Linked DNA regions of Kluyveromyces lactis. The protein of the gene in region 4 interacts with the protein of the main gene of each other region in a biochemical or structural test. Links are inferred from orthologs where the notes say so. Each region holds a gene or a part of one and is shown on either strand. Other genes may lie near its edges.

Evidence for each region.
Region 1: of the proteins of RAD53 (region 4) and RAD55, one has a biochemical effect on the other in vitro, tested with the Saccharomyces cerevisiae proteins (2 studies listed by BioGRID). The link is inferred for Kluyveromyces lactis from reciprocal best matches to the Saccharomyces cerevisiae genes RAD53 and RAD55.
Region 2: the proteins of RAD53 (region 4) and CDC7 form a complex in vitro, tested with the Saccharomyces cerevisiae proteins (2 studies listed by BioGRID, with this or other methods). The link is inferred for Kluyveromyces lactis from reciprocal best matches to the Saccharomyces cerevisiae genes RAD53 and CDC7.
Region 3: of the proteins of RAD53 (region 4) and SWI6, one has a biochemical effect on the other in vitro, tested with the Saccharomyces cerevisiae proteins (2 studies listed by BioGRID). The link is inferred for Kluyveromyces lactis from reciprocal best matches to the Saccharomyces cerevisiae genes RAD53 and SWI6.
Region 5: the proteins of RAD53 (region 4) and CDC45 interact in a test that uses a peptide from one of them, tested with the Saccharomyces cerevisiae proteins (2 studies listed by BioGRID, with this or other methods). The link is inferred for Kluyveromyces lactis from reciprocal best matches to the Saccharomyces cerevisiae genes RAD53 and CDC45.
Region 6: of the proteins of RAD53 (region 4) and PPH3, one has a biochemical effect on the other in vitro, tested with the Saccharomyces cerevisiae proteins (2 studies listed by BioGRID). The link is inferred for Kluyveromyces lactis from reciprocal best matches to the Saccharomyces cerevisiae genes RAD53 and PPH3.

What each region holds. Positions count from the first base shown.
Region 1 is NC_006041.1:117,463-120,624, forward strand, and holds RAD55 (putative DNA-dependent ATPase RAD55), read right to left. Parts: upstream 1,743-3,162; coding exon 501-1,742; downstream 1-500. Other genes in the region: RSM26 (mitochondrial 37S ribosomal protein mS42), read left to right, coding at 2,350-3,111. UniProt on the Saccharomyces cerevisiae protein: Required for radiation resistance and meiotic viability and presumably acts in recombination and recombinational DNA repair pathways.
Region 2 is NC_006039.1:396,463-399,826, reverse strand, and holds CDC7 (serine/threonine protein kinase CDC7), read right to left. Parts: upstream 1,929-3,364; coding exon 501-1,928; downstream 1-500. Other genes in the region: trans-2-enoyl-CoA reductase (NADPH) TSC13, read left to right, coding at 1-196; ERP3 (Erp3p), read left to right, coding at 2,129-2,848; DAL1 (allantoinase), read right to left, coding at 2,935-3,364. UniProt on the Saccharomyces cerevisiae protein: Serine/threonine-protein kinase. Needed for the initiation of DNA synthesis during mitosis as well as for synaptonemal complex formation and commitment to recombination during meiosis. Required for HTA1-HTB1 locus transcription repression.
Region 3 is NC_006039.1:143,071-147,032, reverse strand, and holds SWI6 (transcriptional regulator SWI6), read right to left. Parts: upstream 2,727-3,962; coding exon 501-2,726; downstream 1-500. Other genes in the region: TOS4 (Tos4p), read left to right, coding at 1-294; VTA1 (Vta1p), read left to right, coding at 2,999-3,913. UniProt on the Saccharomyces cerevisiae protein: Part of a complex involved in cell-cycle-dependent transcription. SWI4 and SWI6 are required for formation of the cell-cycle box factor-DNA complex. The repeated element in the upstream region of HO (5'-CACGAAAA-3') is called the cell cycle box (CCB).
Region 4 is NC_006042.1:1,025,771-1,029,866, forward strand, and holds RAD53 (serine/threonine/tyrosine protein kinase RAD53), read right to left. Parts: upstream 2,801-4,096; coding exon 359-2,800; downstream 1-358. Other genes in the region: DNA replication protein SLD5, read left to right, coding at 1-86. UniProt on the Saccharomyces cerevisiae protein: Controls S-phase checkpoint as well as G1 and G2 DNA damage checkpoints. Phosphorylates proteins on serine, threonine, and tyrosine. Prevents entry into anaphase and mitotic exit after DNA damage via regulation of the Polo kinase CDC5.
Region 5 is NC_006042.1:1,834,515-1,838,200, forward strand, and holds CDC45 (DNA replication initiation factor CDC45), read right to left. Parts: upstream 2,496-3,686; coding exon 501-2,495; downstream 1-500. Other genes in the region: KLLA0_F19800g (uncharacterized protein), read right to left, coding at 1-184; LCL2 (Lcl2p), read left to right, coding at 2,781-3,185; tRNA splicing endonuclease subunit SEN2, read right to left, coding at 3,360-3,686. UniProt on the Saccharomyces cerevisiae protein: Required for initiation of chromosomal DNA replication. Acts at the origin of replication. Also has a role in minichromosome maintenance.
Region 6 is NC_006041.1:889,657-892,238, forward strand, and holds PPH3 (phosphoprotein phosphatase PP4 catalytic subunit PPH3), read right to left. Parts: upstream 1,428-2,582; coding exon 501-1,427; downstream 1-500. Other genes in the region: PEA2 (Pea2p), read left to right, coding at 2,229-2,582. UniProt on the Saccharomyces cerevisiae protein: Forms the histone H2A phosphatase complex in association with the regulatory subunits PSY2 and PSY4, which dephosphorylates H2AS128ph (gamma-H2A) that has been displaced from sites of DNA lesions in the double-stranded DNA break repair process.

The DNA.
Region 1 (3,162 bases), on a different chromosome or scaffold from region 4:
ATTGACACTTTATGACAGGTTGGAACGGCTGAAACATGTAAAAAACAAGATTAGCTTGTTAAATTCATATCTGTAAACCTAGCAGTAACAATAAAAGCAAAACAAACAAATTTTTCCTATTTGAATTCCAATAATAGAAAAGTTAGTGGATTCAAGGTTCAAGAGCTCTTAAAACCGGCCAATGAAAACCGTCCCATGTCGATTACTAAAGTTGGCATAGATCACGTCAGATCTATTTTGATGCCCTTTGGGGATCTCTCGAAGGAGAAAATGGAAAAAAAAGACACATGCACCCATACACCACATCATTAGTAATTTCCATGATCTCTCTTTTGGTTTCCGTGGAGATTCCTGGAAAAGCGTCCGATGACGAATGTGAGATATATTGGGCACCACTCGTGACCGTATCTAAGGAGGAAGGGCGCAATTCTTAGTTGCATATTTTATTCACTTAAAAGTGACAAAATTAGGTCGGCTTCCTGTTTGTAATGTGTTCCGTTCTATCCTTCACTATCATATATGATAGCGTCGTTGTCAGTGCCTTCAGTTCCATGAGTTGCCACAATGTTGTCTGAATGAACGATTCGTGGTGTAAACTGGATTGATTGCGAAGAGTTTGGTGTTACGGGCTGACTGTGACTTTGAACATCTAATAGCATACGGCTCGGACTTGGCTCCGTGTATAAAACCCGTCTTCTCTTGTTTGGGGGAAGCACCGGTGCTGCGGCTACTGCAGCAGCAGCAGCTGTCGCACTTGAGGAAGTGTTCGTAGGAAGAAGATTGTCAGTGACAGCAGTTGTTGGGTTTTCTGCGACTATAGTTGTGTGACAGCTATAAAAGTTCCCAGATTCATTAGTCTTAACCCAAACCAGTTTATTCTTCGAGCCCACTGGCTGTTGATGTTGTACAACAAACTGCCGTGATACCTCGGGGATGATTCTTTTCTGGGAGTTAGGATTCTGCTTTTGTTCTGCATCCCAATTCCAGAACACACCGATCCTGCATCGAAGAAACACCTCCCAACGGGCATCTTTACTTCCAACGGCTGCATTTGCTACTAATCCACTCTTCAACACTTGCACGTGACGTTTCCGTTGAGATTTCACGAGGAAATTGCTAAAGGAACCATCTGAGTGGGTTCCGTTGCTGGGATCGTTGTATGAGACAACTGCATCGTCTGAATAGTCCTGGTAACCTGTGTTCATAGCGTCATTAAGTAATACCACCACCGTATTGTTTGAAGTGGCGTATTTAGTTATGGTGACAAGCAATTGTATCAAACTTTTCACCTTGAAATCGTGCAAGGTCTGTCGATGGTTAGAATATCCACTGTTCTTCTCGTACATATGGAGATACTCTACCAAAAGCTGAGATAAACCATCGATTATTATGAGCCCGTACGTCTCTTTTAAATTCTGAAACATGTACCACAGTTGAGCAAATTTCTTCACTCTTGCGAATTGGCACCCTTTGAAATGGACTTCGTCCTCATCTCCTTGCTCTATAAGCTTCAGTGGTACTTGCTGGAACGTGTCAATCCACAGACATTTCATCCTATTCTGATTATTGTTCACTAATTGTACCGCGAACTTTGTCTTGCCAATTCCTGGAGGTCCGTAAACCTCGTAGATACTCTGTGGTTGGAATCCGTCATTCAATGAATCGTCTAAACTCTCAATGCCACTTCGTACATGATCTGCACGCGCTTGTATCAGTTGAGACAAAGGTACACCAAATGACATTAGAATGCTATCAACTAATCACCAAACGCGTCCACAGTTTCTCCTGGTTCTTCAAGCCTTTCAAGACTATGTATAACTAGCCTTTTAAATCCGCATAATTCACCTTTAGGTGTAACTAAAAAATGTCATCAAGTCCGTAGACAACTCAGCTCAATAATGTTTGTTTTATTTACCAGGTTTTTGCTGTGATTATGTTATTCAAAAATATAAAATAAGAAAAGATAAGAGGGAGTAATAATACTTGAATTTAATCATTGAAAGAATTGAAATTAAAAACTCGAAGGTTCTTCCCACGAATCTCCTTGTCTACCTCTTGTCGGATTATATCCTACGGGTGTATCTTATTTGGACTTTATTGATTATTAGTCTAGTTCATTAAGCTAGAGAAGATAATGAGTTCCGGGTAACATTTCAAATCTTAAAATTTTTCTTAGCATTCAACATTGCCGAACAGGAAAAATTGAAATCATTTCGACTTGTATCAATTCATGAATCTAAAATGCATAACTAGAAAGTCTACTATTTCTTGCTCAATGCATCCTATTTACATTCTTCCTAGAGTTTCGGAACGATTGATATAATTGAGGCAACTAACTAAAAATATTTAATGTCAATGTTTGGGCGTCAACTGTTCAGAGGAATACACACAGTTCCAAAGATACCTGGTATTTCACAACTTTTGGATTCAGGCATCCCTCATGTTATGAGCGCTAACACATTCAAAACTTGCTGGGTTGACCAGCAGCAGCTTTTGTGCGATAAGCTAACACTGGCATCTGCAGGAACTGCCGCAGAATCCTACTTGCCATTCCATTTAGTACTGCACACTGCGAAGAAATCATACCAAACAAACATTTTCAATTTGGCTAGTGCTTTGCACAATAACCATTTGTTCATAGAAAACATATTGCCTATGGAACAAGTTACACATCCATCTCGTGAGTTTCTACAGAAGCTAGAATCACAATATTCAATGACTTGGGATGCTTTTAAGGATGAAATGGTTAGACATGCAGAAGAAGATGTGTTAGGTCAAGGATGGCTATTCCTTGTGGAAAATGATGCCAAGGAACTTCACATCCTAACAGTTCAAAATAATGGTACTCCATACTACTTTGCTAGAAACCAATCTTTCGATTTGAACAGTGCTCTATCCTTAGAAGAAATGGAACAGTTTGTAACGATGAGAGATCTACTTGCCGCAAATGCAGACGTTAAAGATTGGACAATGCCTTTGATTGCGATCAGTTTGTGGGACCATTCATACTTGAATGATTACGGTATTAAGGGCAGATCCACTTACGTAAGGAAGTGTTTAGATAACTTGAACTGGTCTGCGGTTAACAACAGATTGTTCTCCACACAATAGGAGTATACCAGTACTTCCAATCATAAATAGACTGTTGGCTCTCTTTAAAAT
Region 2 (3,364 bases), on a different chromosome or scaffold from region 4:
GTTGTTCAAACTACTTGTCGCTCCAAATTACACTTTTGAATCTTGGGCTTGGATGTTTTTCACTTTGTTGTTCAAGTTGAACTTATTCTCAGTTCTTTTCCTTGTTGTCTCGGTGGTTCAGATGTACTTGTGGGCTCAAAAGAAAAACAAGAAATATGGTACCAAGAGAGCATTCTTGATCCCATTCTTGTTCTGAATTCACCAATTACTATCACCACATACATATTTGACTTGGGGTATTATAGCATTCTCTCTTAAGTGAATAACGCTGTTTTACTCGTTTATTTACGCACTTGTTCTCTAACTTATGCCGTCAAAGCGTTGGCAACGTTTGTAAACTAAATATAATAATGATGATGAATGCAAAGTATTAAATTACTCTATCGGTTAAAGAACTCTATATATGAATGCATGTATATAAAAAATGAGTTCTGCTCTAAGTTATTGCGGTGAATATATGCTAATTTTCGTCAAATATTTTTGTTTCGTTCTGGATTTCATTACTCAACGACCCCGGTGAAGTGATCTTCTCTTCTTTGATCTCTATCAAGTAAATCTTCGTTCAGTTCTTTGAACCATAAATGTTCAAGAAGATCACTGGCGCTGGGTCTTTTGTATGAATTGAGTTCGAAACATTTTGCCAAGAGATCAAAACACCAAAAATGATCGTCCCAAACTGCTTGTTTGTAGCTCCGTATTTTATCATCAATATCCTCTTCATCGTCTGGGCCTAAACTTGGCGTGAGTTGTTTGTCAAATTGTGTCAAATAATCCAACGTCTCGAACGCTATGGAATACTCTGGTAATGTTCCTTCCTCCACTTCTTTGTCAAGTAAAGCTCTCACAAAACCTTGTAGCCCCCCAGGATATCCTTCCGAATGGAAACCTGGAACCTTTGTCATGTCTAGTCCCAACCCATGGAACTTGGCGACTTCTTGCATGGGCTTGATTCCAAAAATGCAACATATCTCCAGAAAGGCGTCAATATCATCCATGCTTTGAAAGATTGGGAACCTTCTGCTGATGAAACTTAACAGTATCACACCAACTGACCAAATGTCAATTTTTTGAGTTTGGAAAGAACATTTCATAAGCACTTCTGGCGCTCTGAACCCTCTCGTACCAGCTCTATTAGCTCTACGCTGCCTCCTAGTTTCATGTTTTGGGTACCCCTTACTCAATTCTGCCTTCATGAGATTCTCACTTTGTGCAGCACTTAATTCATTTGCCCCTCTAACGTTAAGCTGCCCGTTCTGAATGGATATCAACGGCAGATGTGATGTCTTTTTGTTGTTAGCATACGGTGAAGAACAATTACAAACCTTCTCTCCCTGGTCATTAACATACACACGATAGTTGAGGTCAGGCAAGTACAACTCTTCATTCTCTTCAGCCAAACCAAAGTCTACTAACACACCTCTCCCAAGTATTGGGTTGTATAGGAAATTGGTTGGCTTCACGTCTCTGTGAATGATTCCAAATGAGTGCACGTATTTCAAGGCGCTTAAAAGTTCAAACATGTACTTCTTTATCCCCTTGATAGGCATGTCTCGGTAGAAATGCCGGAATTCTTCATGCGGATACCAGGGCAAGACGACAACCACCTGATCCTGGTATCGAATCGCGTCGCATAATGGTGCTACGTTATTCGAATTTGACAGTAACTCTAAGAGTTTAAGTTCATTTTCAATTCTGTTCGGCGAGCTTGTCACGTATATCCTCTTGATAGCCACATGTTTACTATTCTTATCCCAGAAATGATCAGGGTATAACCTTCCAGATACGTTGCTAAGATCTTGAGCTTTATATACCGATGAAAAGGTCCCCTCTCCGATCTTATCCAGTAGCTTGTATCTGGATGACAACTGTGGTACCTTATCGTACAAATCATCCATTTCCTGGATGATTTCAGCGGGAATGTCATCCATAATTATAGTGTGTATATTGCCACCTAATATGAAGCCTAACAGACGAGCTGTATACCCATTGGTTTGACTCTACAAGAACAGATACGCTATATCCGTTGATTCTTTTATTCTATGCATTTTTTGGCGATGTTTTCATTTTTATTGTCGAAACCAAATATAATAACAAACAGCAGTAGTTCACATTGAAATGACATATATTAATGAACAGAAACAGGACGTTAAAAGGGGAATTGTCGAATAAAAGGACATTTACACACAAAGCAACCTTCATGTATAACTTATTAAATATGAAGTTTACATGGTTATGGGTATTTTCGCTTGTGATTGTCTGTCAAAGCTCACCAATAACGGTACAATTACAGAAGAATGGGAAAGAATGTGTTTACATTGATGTTGATGACAGTGACTGCAAAATATCTTATTACTTCGCAGTACAAGAGGGAGAAAACAATGCCTTCAGAGTAAGCTATGAATTATGGTCTCCGGACGATACAGAGTATCCTATGATTTACAAAGATGACGAAGAGCAAGGGCAATGGACATTTCCTGCGAAACATACTGGTGAATATGCGTTATGTGTCATTGGTGATGAATATCCTAAGATTGTTGATTTAGACATTGTACAGATATGTTTCGATCAGATACCGAAGCCAGCAGATCCTCGTTTGATAGGAGAGACGATAGATAGTTCACTGGTGAGGACACTGCAAGATTCTGTAAATATAATAGAGGATCAGCTTCAAGTCTTGGAAAGAAATTTGAAGCTGTACAAATCACGTGCAGAAAGAAACCACCACACTGTTAAATCAATAGCATCGAGGTTGGTCACCATATCAATTTGCTCCATAGTTCTTGTACCGACGATTGCTGTTCTAGAAATTATAATAATGAAGTATATTCTAGGTAAATTTAAATCATAAGTGATATATATATAATATGTATATCATGCATCAAATAAAGGTAATTCAAAATTGAAGAAAAAAAAATGATTAGAAGATGGGGTACTTCATGTTCTTCTGCGTTCAAGAATTGTCTGGCCGGGAGGGTTTTTATTATGTCCCATGCCGTCAAGTTCAAAAGCCAATTTTCCTCTAACATAGGTGTTTCTCACTAAACCTTTCAGTTTGAACCCATCATAGGCTGTCAGTTTGTTTTTGAAATAAACTTTATCGTTGTCGACAGTCTGATAGGTATTGATGTCGAAGATAACAAAATCTGCGTCGTATCCAGTTCTTAGGAAACCCTTCCTGTGATCAAGACCAACTTGCTTACTGGTGTTCTCGCAACACCATTGAATGATTTCAGCGATGGAAGCACCGTTAGTGTATAGTAATGGTAGTCCCAACCCGACGGATGCAATTCCTCCCCATGCACTAAAAAAATCACCTTTTGCGAGGTCTTTTAGCTCCGGTATACATGGAGAATGGTCACTTACT
Region 3 (3,962 bases), on a different chromosome or scaffold from region 4:
AACATTCAACAAGTGCCACTCTTTCAATTGCAGGATGTTAACTCTGTTGTCTCGAAGTTAAGCCGCACAGAACTGCGCGCTATTTTGAATGACGAACAATGTATCGGAGTAATTTACCGTACAGGAAAAGATGCCGCAGGAAAGCCACTGGATGAAGAATACTACTATGATGCAGAAAATGATCCTGACGATGACAGAAGACAGCTGGTAGCATCACTCAAGGGTGGCAGATCTGGTTTAAGATCATGCAGGAGAGTGCATAAACAGTATTTCTGGAAGAAACCAACTAAATAATCTAAAAATTCTGCTCGACTTGCTTTTTAACACAAGGCGTCGAAGAAACAAATATATACATAGGCAATAAATGTAATAGAAAAAAAAGGTTCATCGTATTTTATAGGTAAAAGTCCACTAAAATTACAACAGCTTGCGTAAACTGTTTAGTTAGAAATAAAAGTACAACAAGAGTTATTTCCAAATAGGTTACCATCAATTGGTATTTATTCGGCGGCACTCTCTAAAAAGTTGTTCACCTCGTCTGTATCTATATCTTCAGGATCTTCATTAGATATAGCTTGCAAAAGACCGTCAAGCATTGAGTCAACCTTCTCTTCATCTATCTTCAAGCAGAGAGACAAGACTTTTCTGAATTTAGATTCTAAATTCTTCTGCTTGTCTTTGATAGTCTGTAAAGTTGAGTCTAAATGCAATTCGTTTCTATTGTACGCTTTGATTCTTGCTTTAAGAATTTTGGGATGTGGGATTTCTGCTCTGGAAGGGAAGTTATCGTATATTTCATGAACAAGTTGTGATAAATTGCAATGTTTGAGGAATAGTTCAAAATCATTGTTATATTCGTCTTTGATCTTTTCCTCAAACTTTGTGTAAACGTAAGAGATTCTGAAAGGCTCATCAGCATCGAATGCAATATCGGCTGAGTTCAGACCTTCTTCTTGGACATCATCCAGTGATAGTCCTAATTCTCTAGAAGCAAGTTGGAAATTTTGATCTTCTTCAGCGATAGTGTTTTCCACATTGTTCAGTCTGTCGGACAACAGATTATATTCATCTTGGATTTGCTTTGCCTTAGCCAATCTATCCCGTGCATTAGCCAACGCTTCTCTCTTTATGTTGAGTGTATCGAGGAGCTCCTTCATCTTCCCATTATGTTGTTTAATTTCATCACCATAATCATTCGATATTTTTGAGAGGAGTGATTTTATATTTGTGATTAACGATGTAGACTCAGCCATCGGATCCAACGAAGTTTCATGAGTTTTGGTAGGTGTGGCCATAAGATTTTTTGTATTCGATTGAAAACGGGGTTGAGTACCTGCACCAAAATCCACAGGGCACAATCCGGAATTGTTTGCAATATTAGGATCAGCACCATAATCCAACAATGCTTCGACAATGGCAACGTTTCCAAGCCTGGCGGCAATATTTAAACAGGTATCACCATTAGAATCTCTAGCATTGAGTAAATGAGTGATAACCCATTGAAGATCGATATCTTCTAGTAGCACGCAATGCGATTCTTTAGTTCTGCTTTGCTTTTTAACTATCCAACCCATCAAAATATCGAGGTAATACTTAGCCGCTGCATTACAACCAGGCATACCAGAAGTAATCACAATATGATGAAGAACGGTTCTATCCATGTCATCAACCATTACGATACAAGGGTACAAGTAGTCCAACAGTATCTCGAATGTACCAGAATCGTAATTGTTTACCGACTTCACAGATTTTACAAGCACTGATTCACCGGACTTATCGCCGATTCTTCTATCACTGCCAAAGACAATGAGCTGTTTGAGAAGGTCTAGATTGGCTATGGAACACAGCCAATGCAAGGAAGTGTTTCCATGTTCATCAATTGGGATGTTAAAATTTAGTGGAACGTTTGGGAATTGTGTGTCCAGTTCTTGTACCTGCTGGGTTAAGCTGACCGATGGGTAACCTTCTGCAACGTTCAAATTCGTAGTTTCGGGGAAAAGAATACGCTGAAGTAAGGTCTCTAACTTCGCACGTTCATCATTTGAGTAATTACTAACTGGAGGCAGAGTTTTCTGTAACGTAGAGACCGTAGGTAAATCATGTTGGAAAACCGGGATCTTTGAAACAGATTTGGTTTGATGCCTCTTCGTAGGAGAATCGGGAAGATCTAGAAGCTCATGTTTAACAGTGTCTGGCTCACCACCACTGATTCTAGAAGTGGTTCCATTTGTAATTGTTGCAGGCCTGAAATTACTTCCTTCGGCAGTAACATTCCCATCATTTTTATTCGAGCTGTTGTTTCCGTTATTTGTATTTTCAGTACCACCATTCTCCATTGTGTGGTTGTCCGTCTTTCTACCATTATTCTCAGGAGTCTTCTGACCATCGTCTTCAACGCCATTGTGATTAGCTTCATTATCATCGTCATGGTCCGTCAAATTTTCCGAACCAGAATCATCTTTAATTTGCAGCAAATCCCATAACTCATGTGCTTTTTGTAAAGTGATCCATCGGGTGCCAGACCTATCAGTGTCTATAAGTATATTGAATTGAGAAGTGACCATATCATCGAGATTCTCAACCAATGGGTCATCGCGATGGAAATTGAAACTTGATAAGTTGGTCAACAAAGGGATAAATTGGTCCAGACAGACATATCCGTCTTGAAGTCGCTGCTGGAAAGTAATACGGTCTCCCTTATGCACCTTAAAAATAGGCCTGCTCATCGTCCACTTTATACCGTTAAATTGTGAAGGATCCCAGAACAATTACTAGTACAGTCAACGTTGTTCGTTGTTTAGAGTTCTCAATTGTGAAATTAGTACGATGTTCATAATTTGGTTAACATTCAAAAATCAATAAATTTTCTCCATTTGGCGTTTGTATATTATATTATCATAATATCGACATATTGGGATAGGGAATGAATGAGGTATCCAGGGGACTGAGACGTGCTCATACAGCCCAAAAGACTTTCGTTCACTATACTTGATACATTATGAGCAATGTAGCGCAGTACAAGAGAGTCATTAAACTCTCTAAAGAATTGTCAACTCTTCCTGTTATATCTTACTACTTAAAACTATATGCGGCAGAGCTAATATTGAATGAGAAGGAGCGAGACGGGGAAGCGACAGAGTTGGTCATGTCATTATTAGACGATGTAGAGAGCTTTAAAAATGAGGTGAATGATGAAGGTACTAAGATCCTGTTGAATGAAAAAGACAAAGCATTGGCTTTTGTGTTAAATCTTGCGATGTCAATCTATAACGGAATCTTAGTACAAATACAAGATGATAGGATTAATGACGATATAGGAAAGGGGCTATGGTGCTGTATAGATTTGTTTCAATGCTGTAAACATATATGGGCGGATAGTATGGATGCCATTGTAAAAGAGCAATGCGATAAAAGGATCAAACATTCCAAATACTATCTTATGAAATTGAAAAGGGGACAATTACAAAGCGACAAGAAGCCCCAAGAAACCACATCAGAACCTACAAATAGTAACCCACTAAGCGAAGTGGAAGATGAAATCCCAAATTTTGTCGAGGATCTAGAGGATCAGCCGCTATTCGAAGAGCCAAAAGATTCGGAAATAGCACAGCAGCATGGTCCGTCTCCCTCTTTGAAGGTAGATGAATCCGTTGAGAAGTTAAAGCAGCTTGAGTCGCCAGAAGTTCCAATAAAGTTGCTAACGCCAGAACCGATCAAATTAGAATCACCTAAACCGGCAGTGAGACATGATGTTGCTACTTTGAAAGAAATAATGTCAAGGGAGCACAGGATTCAAAAAGCACAACGAAGTGCTAAGTATGCAATAAGCGCTCTAAACTATGACGACATAGTAACTGCAAAAGCCGAGTTACTGCAAGCTTTTAAGTTGCTTGAAGACTTGACGCCTGAATAATATTCCAATGCGTCTGATCATTTCTGCATTTTTGCCTCAGTTATGAACA
Region 4 (4,096 bases):
TTTACTTATTAATCGGGGCAGTATACGTAATACGTTATAGTGTAATACGAGATCTCATGACTGAGGGACGAGTAGTTTTAATATAATGAAAATTCTGAACAGTATTACTGAACCTATGACTCTTCGAAAAATATAGGTTTGTAACGAATGTTTGCCAGCAATAATTTCTCAACAATGTTATTGCGAACACAGCATGTTTTCTACCTAGTGTTATTGACTGCTGGTCTATAGTGCTTTTGAACCAATTTGTATTAGTATTACATCAATTAACGTTGAAAAGTCTATCTAGCATACTCAAAGTGTACCTATTTTTCATATTTACTGTATGCAAAACCCATCCGGCAAGCATATGATCAGCTCAGAGAAATCCTTCAATATCTGGTTTCTGGGCTTGGGCAAGCTTAGCCCTTTTGGTTGTCTGCGGTTGAGATTGAGATAACGACACTGAATGTATTCTTTTCAATCCTGTAGTCGAGTTCATCTCAACGACAGAATCTAATTCCTCGATATTTTGCGAGTTGGCATCTATGTTACTGGAAGAGGACTGGTTTATATTAGATTTGGCATGTTGTGATGATCTAGACTTCATAAATTCCATAAACTTAGGGACTAAAGCTAACTCCTCCTGTGTCTGTTTATGTAGAAGTGTCTTGTTTGTTTTCTCATTGGTATCCAGCTTCCCCTCGTGGAACAAACCAGTGGTATCATTGAACTCAAGCTGGAAAGAAACAGTGACATCATTGATTTTATCCCATATAATTTGGATTTCATCGCCATCATGAAGTAAGATCTTTGTGCCCGGAGTGATTTTCTTTCCATTAACATAGCTTGAGTTAGTACCACTTTGGCAATACCATACATCATCAAGACCTTGAGCTGGAGATTCATAAATACTGTCACCGACAGCGTGTCTTTTCTTCAATATGAAGCAATGTATCCTAGATAAACGATTATCATCAATTTTACAGTTGCATTCGTCTGACCTACCGATGAAGAATGGATTTATCCCTTGTTTTACTTGGACCTTACCTGAAATAGATGAGCCAGGTAAGGAATGCAAAGTGAGAAATAGCCCCTCCCCATTGACCTTTGTAAGTGGTCTATTGATCTTTTTGTTCTTATTGTTTGAAAGTCCTTCTTCACCAGATTTATAATTAACATTAATAGCTTTACCAGTATTAGGATTTGAAAAGTTAAACTGCAAGTTTTGGGATTGTGCAATTTTAGATGGTGCAATTTGTGGTTTTTTGAATACAGGCTCTTTATTAGTTTCTGCAGCAGGCGCCGTTATTTCTTTCTTGATAATCTCTAACCTCTTTTTCGCAATGTATGATTCGTATTCAGCCTCATTCATACTGTCAACAAATTGTTGCTGGGACAAGGATTGTGAGATGGATATTTGTGACTGCATGCTATCAACGTATGCCATTTTCATCCATGGATGTTGCAGGGCCTTTCCTGCGTTCATTCTTTCTTTAGGGTCCACATTCAACAGGCAATCTATGAAGTTTCTTGCCTCTTCGGATATTCTATAATCCTTTAATGGTCCTTCATGATAAGAGCCCCGTTTTATTTGCTTGAACAATTCATTCTGAGACTGACCACTAAAAGGCAAGTGACCTGTAAGAATAACGTAAACTAGGCATCCAATTGACCACATATCAACAAGTGAGGAATACAGATCTCGATTAGTTTTATCTTCAGCATTTTTCCCGTCTATAACTTCAGGTGCAACATATGCTAGAGTACCACAAAAAGTGTTCAGGAATGTATTCTGATTTTGTACTTTTGCCAGGCCAAAATCGGTTATCTTTATAAGAACTGGATCGTCTTGCTCTATCATTATATTATCAGGTTTCAAGTCTCGATGGCTAATTCCTTGATCATGCATGTATTTTACTGCCTCTAAAACCTGTCGTGTTATCTCTCTGCCGGCATCCTCGCCTACAGTTCCATGGGCTGCTACGAAATCCATTAAATCGCCTCCGCTGACAAACTCCATCAACATGTAATAATTATCATTGTCTTCAAAAAAGTCCTTAAGTTTAACTATCCTGGGGTGATTTAATTTCTGCAATACATCTAGTTCCCTCTTCACTCCATCAAATTTATCCATTACTTTTCTCTTATGAATTATTTTGACCGCAAATGTTTTGCCTGTTGACCTTTCGACAGCTTTCTTCACAGTAGCGAAAGCACCTTGACCAACAATCGAATCTGATATCGAATAGTATTTGTGTATTCCTTTTAATTCTGTATGTCCCATTGATATCTGATATTTGCTCTTTGAAGATGAAGCAGGTGAAGTCACATCCTTCATCATATTGAGTTCTTTTAGTCTATTTTTGAAACTATCGTTGATGAAAATCACTAAACTAACGACATCGCTGGGAACGCCGACTCCAACACTTATTTCATCCCCTTGGGTCAAGATGTGATTCGTATCCTTTTGTATCCTCGCTCCATTTAACCATGTTCCATTGGTTGATGTATCCTTCAGCATTAAAGTTCCTTCTTCACCCAGCATTAGCATAAAGTGTCTGTTGGACAGTCTTGAAATATCCCCCAGATAATAATCACATCCTTGGTTTCTTCCAAAGGTCCATGTTTTTTTAATTGATGATTCCTTTTTGAATATACTTTCAGGTTGAACCTTCAAGTCCCGTAGACTTATTTGACCAGTTGTACATATTACTCTGCACACCACATCGTCGTCTATTTTCTCCTGAGAAAACTTATCTATTAGGTACTTCTGTGTAGCCTGAGTGGCTTGTTGTGTCGGTTGCGTTATATCATCCATGTCAATATCTTCGTTTGCACAGCAATGATCAGTTGATCTCTAAAGAGGCTGGGAAAGGTAACGGCAAACCTCAAAGGGACAACTTAATGCCTCAATATAGAACGATTTTCACAAGTGTGCTATTCTATAGTCGGTTGTGACTGTGTATACCCACTAAACTGCCAACACAAAGCTAATGAATAATGGAATAAATCGTTCTTTCATAATGTGTATGATCGCTTTTGCAATTCAAAGATCCAGATTATTTCAGAAAAATGTCAACCTTTAAATCGCGTAAATATTCGATGAACATTAAATATTACAATGACGCGTAAAAGTACATACATATATACAAAGCCAATGATCAAAGATGGATCAGTCTTTACTCGGCACTGCTACAACGTTGGAGTGGGAATTTGAGTAAATAGAACGGAATCATTGATAGAAGTTCTATTATGGCACATTGCGGCATCAGGTGATTGGTGCCGAATCTTCTTCAGAACTATGTGAAGCCGGTTTATACTGCAACAATCCATATGGCATCAATTAGTAAATACCATGGTTGAATAACTTGTATCAGCTGTTTCTTATTCTAACTCCAGTCATGCTACAAAGACTTTAAAATCTTTACTTATCAATAGATGGAAGTAAAGATTATAAATCGATATGGTTGCTATCAAGCATAACACTCCGAATTTTCAGAAATTCTTTGCATTTTGCTCATATAACGTTATTGTATTTGAACTGTTAGAGCCTTTTCTTGAAAAAACTAGGTTCTATTCATGTTTAAAACATTCGTTAAGACAATTCCCCATAACCGATTGAAGAAATGATATATATAAGTTTTCGTTTTATTAATACTGCAATAATGTCCTTCAACGAGATAGCTATGTAGTAAAATTATATATCAGCTTTGATCTACTGGTGAAGGTTCAAATCATACCGTCAACTTTAACCGTAATGTTACGGTAAATAACAAAATCGTAAATTATTAATCTCACATACCTCCATAACGTTATGTTAAGTTTCTTACCATTCTATCTGCTAATTAAATGACCTGTTCCCAGAATCAGGACTGGATAAAAAGTCTACTACATCCGTTAGTTTTTCCCAAGGAAACCCTTTAAATACAAGAGCCGGGCTCAGTAGTCTTTCGCGTCAGATTTTGAAGTCTATTTATATTTACTACTAGTTCATAAATTGGACATTGTATAGGAAAGATGCATTCCTCTACATAATATTTTTGTTAAATTAACTACCCATCATTACTTCCCTAAAACCATGTAAACTGATAGGTATGGTGCATACCAGTACAAT
Region 5 (3,686 bases), about 810 kb from region 4:
TGTTTCTATTGCGTTCATTCTTGTAATTCAACGGAGTGTAGAGCGAAGAGTCGCTGAATACATTTGCCGATGTGCCCATCCCAACGTTGAAATCCTCATCTGTTGAGTGTTTGACATGTTTGATCCTGCGGAACTGCGGGCTTTTCCAGGGTGGCAGACGCGGAAGATCTATGTTGTGCTCCATGTATTAACTTAAGAGCCTGAACAGCTACAGTTGAGGGGTTGAAGGCTGGTTCTTGGCAACATTTTGCCTATAATTATGACAAATTATTGTGGGTATTTTAGAATGCTTACCTTTGACTGACATTTGTGGCATTGGTTTAATGATCACGTGATATCAATGGTAAACCTAACAGATTTCAAACAGCTTGGACATCCCATAGTAGTGTCAATTTCGAGGTATCTGATTAGATTGTTACATAATATATATATATATATTAGATTTAAAGCCGAAAGCTCACCTCATGATATGCCTAAATTAATATGTTTGTGTCTTCGTGCTAAATCAATCCGCTTAATGTCAAACGTTCAAGGAATGGTTGTAGATCGTCTTTCCTGATTTCAATAATTGATGTCTCGAAATTGTCAATCCTTACTTTGGCACCTGTCTCAGCTGCTATTTGTTGAAATGCCACTGTGAAATTATTTAAAGTTTTCTGCTGTTGTTGTTGTAAAATGTCCAACCCTCTTGGGTACCTTGGCGCAATCCCTGCACAAAGATATGTGTCAGAAGTCTCATCTAAAGTTGCCAATACCAGTGGAAGTAACTGTTTTTCGTCATTTTCTGCATAGTATTCAATGAGCCATGATCCCAGCCTCAATAACGTTAATGGATTTCTATATAAATGCAAATCTGGTCCATCTTGTAAAACACATAGCCTGTAAATCCTTAAATGTTTCACTAATCTTTTCTCCAGAATAGCGACTCCAGTTTCAAATACACTTCTTTGTAAAAATGTTGCATGCTTAATCCCCTGAGATAAAATATCCATATTATTGTCCAATACATCCCAACTTGACCAAAAATTTGCAATCCATTTTTTTTGCCTTGTCTTCAGTATTCTGTTAATTTTTTGCTCTTCAGCTTCTTCGTACTCCCTATTCTCTTCATCACCTTGGTTCGTATCATCTTTTTGAGATACATTAGCTGTTGTCAAATTTTCTAGTGCGTTTGAAGCATTGCCAACTTCAAGTAAAGCGGTTATCGATTCGACAAATTCACTGGCACTTATTGATCCTCGGTAACCGAAAGTTCTCAAGAACCCATCTCGTACAATATCTTGTAACCCGTATCTATCGAGATTTTTATCGAAAAGTACGCCCAGATCTCTCTTGAAATTATTGTCCATATATATCCAGTTTTCCTGTGTAACACTCAGCGGAATACCCATGCGTGCAAACATTTTATGCAGTCTTTTCTTGCCATTTTCATTCCACAGTGACAGTTTGGCGTTGACGTAGTTAGAATAATAAAAACTATCATATAAGGATGTATGCCTCAGAAGGAATAAACTGTAATCGGGACGAATCTCAAGATTCAAAGAATCTGGCGTTTTAGTTTTTTCACTAGGTGTCAATCTTTTTACTTCATCTTTCAGAAGTGGTAATAGTCGATTGTATACCAACGGGAAGGAATTATCCAAAGAGGACACTCCTAGAATGCATAACCATAAATAATCTAGATTTGTCTCACCAATACCAGACAAAAGAGAATATATCTGAACTGAAAGGGAGTTCAGCACCGTTGATCCCTGTGAATAGTACTCCTGTAACACTTTTTCTAAGTTGTGAAACTCTCGCTTTCGTTGTTTATGTGATTTTTTTGGATTCAATTCATCGCTGGACCTTTTACCCAATACTACGTCATCGTCATCGTCATCGTCATCGTCATCGTCGTCTTTATCCTCATTTTGCGTTTCCCTGTCATCTTCCTCTTCCTCGCTATCACTGTCATCGTCCAATTCATCGCCAAGTTCGTTCTCTATCTCTATAAGTTTGTAGTATGCTTTCTTTTGCTCTGTCAAAGACTCTTCGACTGTTCCATCATCGAAACAGGTTATGCACTGTGAACCAAATAAATTATCCAAATTCCACGGTCTATGACAATCAAGCACAAATATCTCCTTCTTAAATTTCTGAACAACGTCAGTCTTATCTAATTGAATCTCATCTAATGGACCCTGCGTGTTTTCTTGTGGATCAATCTCTAAAAAAGATTCAAGATCTACCATCCCTCCACAACCTACAAATATAACGCTATTGATATTTTCGTCCAGTCTCTGATAGTGATCCTTCAATTCCGAATAACCAAACACGGGAACTAACTGTGATTGTACCAATTGCTTCTTGAATAGACTGGATAGCATCTTCGATGCACATAACGCGTCAATGTTTAAACACGAAACAAAAATCACCAACTGACATGAAGAATGAGAACTGCATCGGTGAAGAATTTTATCATAAGCACCCACAAATTCAGCAATGCCAATATACATCCTCTACCTGGCACTTTGATGGCCTGCAGTGGTTTTGTTTGCAGTCTCTTTTCCCTCGTGAGCTAGTCATCTCATGTATTTACATAAATTTCTTTAAAATATTGGTTTGGAATACTTACACGTTTAAAGATTTTTGGAAAATCGATTACTTGTCATAAATGGCATACATGCGAAATATTCGAAATATTCGAAGAGATGCCAAGATTTACAAGACTATAGGTACTAAACACTGCTATCTGATATTTCATATTGCAGTATTACGAAATACGAAGATCTTAACTTACTATGAAACTACTGGGAACAATAATTGGTTCAGCATTCTTTTTACAAGCTGTGTCTGGATTCTTTTTCGATTCAGGTCACCAGAATAGACAGCAACAGCAGCAACAGCAGCAACAGCGGGATGTTGGCTCTTACCAGCAAATGTTCCTAGATAATGACTGTCCGCATTATTTATGTCCACAGACATTGGATTGTGTGAGACAGAAGTCGGATTGTGCGTGTCCGTTCCCTAATTCACAATTGAAATGCAATCTACCCAACGGTCAGGTAATTTGCATCTCAAAGCCAGCAACACATGATCCAACACTGGTAGAGATTTATGATGATCCAGTAATGGGACCAGCTCAACGTACTGAGGGATTCAGAGATTGTGGATGGATCTTGGATGTATATGACGGCAAGATTTAGAATGAGAGATCTTTCTTTCTGTATCGGCCATAATACTATTACAAACATAAACTGATAATATATATAGAGACATATAATACAGACCATTACTGTATTTAATGCAATTAACTAGCATGGGTTTATTTTTACTCGTTTGAGTTCTTCGCGGAAAAGATCGTTACCGGTTCGGAACAGTTAATCTCTGTTCTTACCTGCAACCCATCTTTTGTATAACAATTCATGGATTTTAAAGTTTCTGAAAAGCTCATCGTACTTTGATTGCTTCCAAAGTTCCATTAAGTCATCTTCAGGTATGAGTTGTTCAACGTAGCATAATACAAACTGTTTCTTGGCTCCGCCCACGACTCTGGCAGCGCTTGAATACCAAGTGTAATCATTTGACTGGTTTGCATCCAAAACCATGATTCCATACTCCGCATGTTGGAAAGGGGGTCCTCTTCTGTATAATAAGTATTCGCAACCAAATTTTATCCCCGATCGTACACACCACCCTTTGGACCT
Region 6 (2,582 bases), on a different chromosome or scaffold from region 4:
CCTTGCATCTAAACGTCTATTTGACTTTTTGTAAGACTCCGTTTAAGGTTGAGATACTTAATTGAAGATCAAATATCAAAATATTACCGTTAAATCCAAAATTGAAGGGAAGGTAAAAGTATCGTCATAAATGTTCTGCTCGAATGGAATACAACCAGAAATTCCATATTACAGTATAATATGTATGCTATCAAATGAATCATATAATTCAATCGTACAATTATTGAAATAGTTTACTGTTACATACCTATTGGGATACTTTTATTGAAATGTGGTATATCACTGTGTTGAATGAGATTAAGAAGAGAGGTAATATTAATACAAAGCAACAACTGTAGGTTGAGCTATGCTGGGAGGATGGTCGGTTGATAATGAGGATCAGGGTGATATACCATGCTGTTAAATAATGCTGAAAGAAAAGAAGACTGAACCAATAACACGGGAATCGGTCAGCAAATCGAGAAGAGAGAGAGAAAAATGCAAATAATAATGGTAATAAGTTACAAGAAGTAGTCCATTTGAGGTTTTTTCGTAGGGAGAATGACATTACCTCCACTATCCCTCGCCTGAACAGCTTCAAAAATGGTGTAATCCTTCGTCATATCGTCATCGATGCGCAGCACAGCAGCCACATTCCCACAACGATAACAGTAGTTTGGTGCTGACCATACCGTGACTAATCCCCCATCGAACATCTCTTTATAACCTTCCATGACCAATTGATGAGCTCTAGCGATTAATTCGACACTATTTGTGTGTAAAAATTTATCTACTTCGTTTTGGCCAAATAGGAAACCTGCACCACGCGGGGAAAGAGACCAAGTATCCACATCCTCTGGATCCGACCACAATAAATCACACATAGCACCTTCATGCGGTACCTCCTTTTTCCTATCGATGGTTCGTATTTCGTTGATTGATAAAACGTCCGGCGATAATCCACCATGAACACAGAAAACCTTGTTGTTTACAATGGCACCCAAGGGCAAATAGTCGAATACTTCGCAACAGTATCTCCATACGTTACTGTTACCATATTTCCTTACCACTTCGTCGTAAAACCCATAAACCTTCGTAATCTGTCTTGTTTCATGATTTCCTCGTATCAACACAATTCTATCTGGATACCTTAATTTATAACATACCAAAAGAAGGAAACTCTCTAACGAATAGAACCCTCTATCCACGAAATCTCCCAAAAAGATGTATCTATTCTTTTCAATGCCTCCACTCTTAGCAAAGAGAGTCAACAAATCATGCAATTGGCCATGAATATCTCCACAAATTGTGACTGGCGTATCCACATGTGTCACGTTAGACTCATTCATAAGAAGTTCTTGAGCCATGACACACAGCGAGTATATCGAATCCTCGTCAACATGTTTCCCCTGCCTTAGAGTCTCTATAATCTCATCGAGTTTCATCATTGACAGATGCTCAGACGACGTTAAAGTTAAAACCAACTGGAAGTATAAAAGATAAAAAAAAGTGATTCCCTGTTCAAGAACTGACGATATTATTCTATAGTGATGAGTTTGGATCAAATCCAACAAAAACCTACCTTAAACTAATCTAACAAAGGTAAACTGAATAGTCATCATTAACAATATAGGCTTAAAAGCTTCTTTACTTTCTTATTTTCCAAAATTCGATGAGATAGACAAAATGCAAGTATCAAGAGAAATAAAAGTATCAAGTATCAAAAGAGGTAACAACAATTACATTTTTCGGTTAGCCTGAAAAGTCAACTTGTCGGTCTGCGCTTTCCGGTATGTCTACAGTATATAGCGTAGTGTGGAATGCTTGCCTGTGTTGTATATGGGAATTGTTCAGAATCTTGCTTCTTCTTCTTCTTCTCCTTCCATTGTTTCTTTTTTTTTGCCTGTACTCTTTTTTCACGTTTCTTTTTATCAGTTTGCTTCCTTTTTTGTGTTTCGGCCACAAAAACGATAATTTAACGTGACATGCGGGTAATGAGGTGTGCTTATGTAAGCCTTCGGAAGATGACACCCAGACATCGGAATGGCGGTATTCGTGCGTGGTGATGTCAAATATCACGTGGTTGATAATGTGCTTGTATTACCCGGAAACTGCATGTATGTCCCGTGCGTGGTAATTGAGAAAGGCATTGATCGGAATCAACGCGTCTGGATAGATGAACGGAATGTTAAAATGTAAGTTGCTACCAAACCAAGCTAGATACTGATCGCAGCTAGCCCCTTGATAGAATGCTTCGTAATAACCTGGACCAATGGTACGAGTACAATACCTCTTTTGTAGAGAAATTGCATGGGAAGTACCCCAATGAACAGTTGAATGAATATTTGCAAACTACGAGTACGAATTCCCTGATATCCAATAGACAAAATTCGGAGTGGGATGAGCTTCCAATGGATTTGGATTCCCAATTGAAATTGGAATTTGCATTGTACTTGATTAATGAATCTGCTAACGGTTCTCTAAGTACTAAGGGAACTACTTTCTTACAAAAGCTTGGCTCGGTAGACGTTGACACGTTGAAAGAATTAGTCCAATTGGTACTAGAGAATGATAAATCTTTAGCCAATAAAAGCACTGATGAG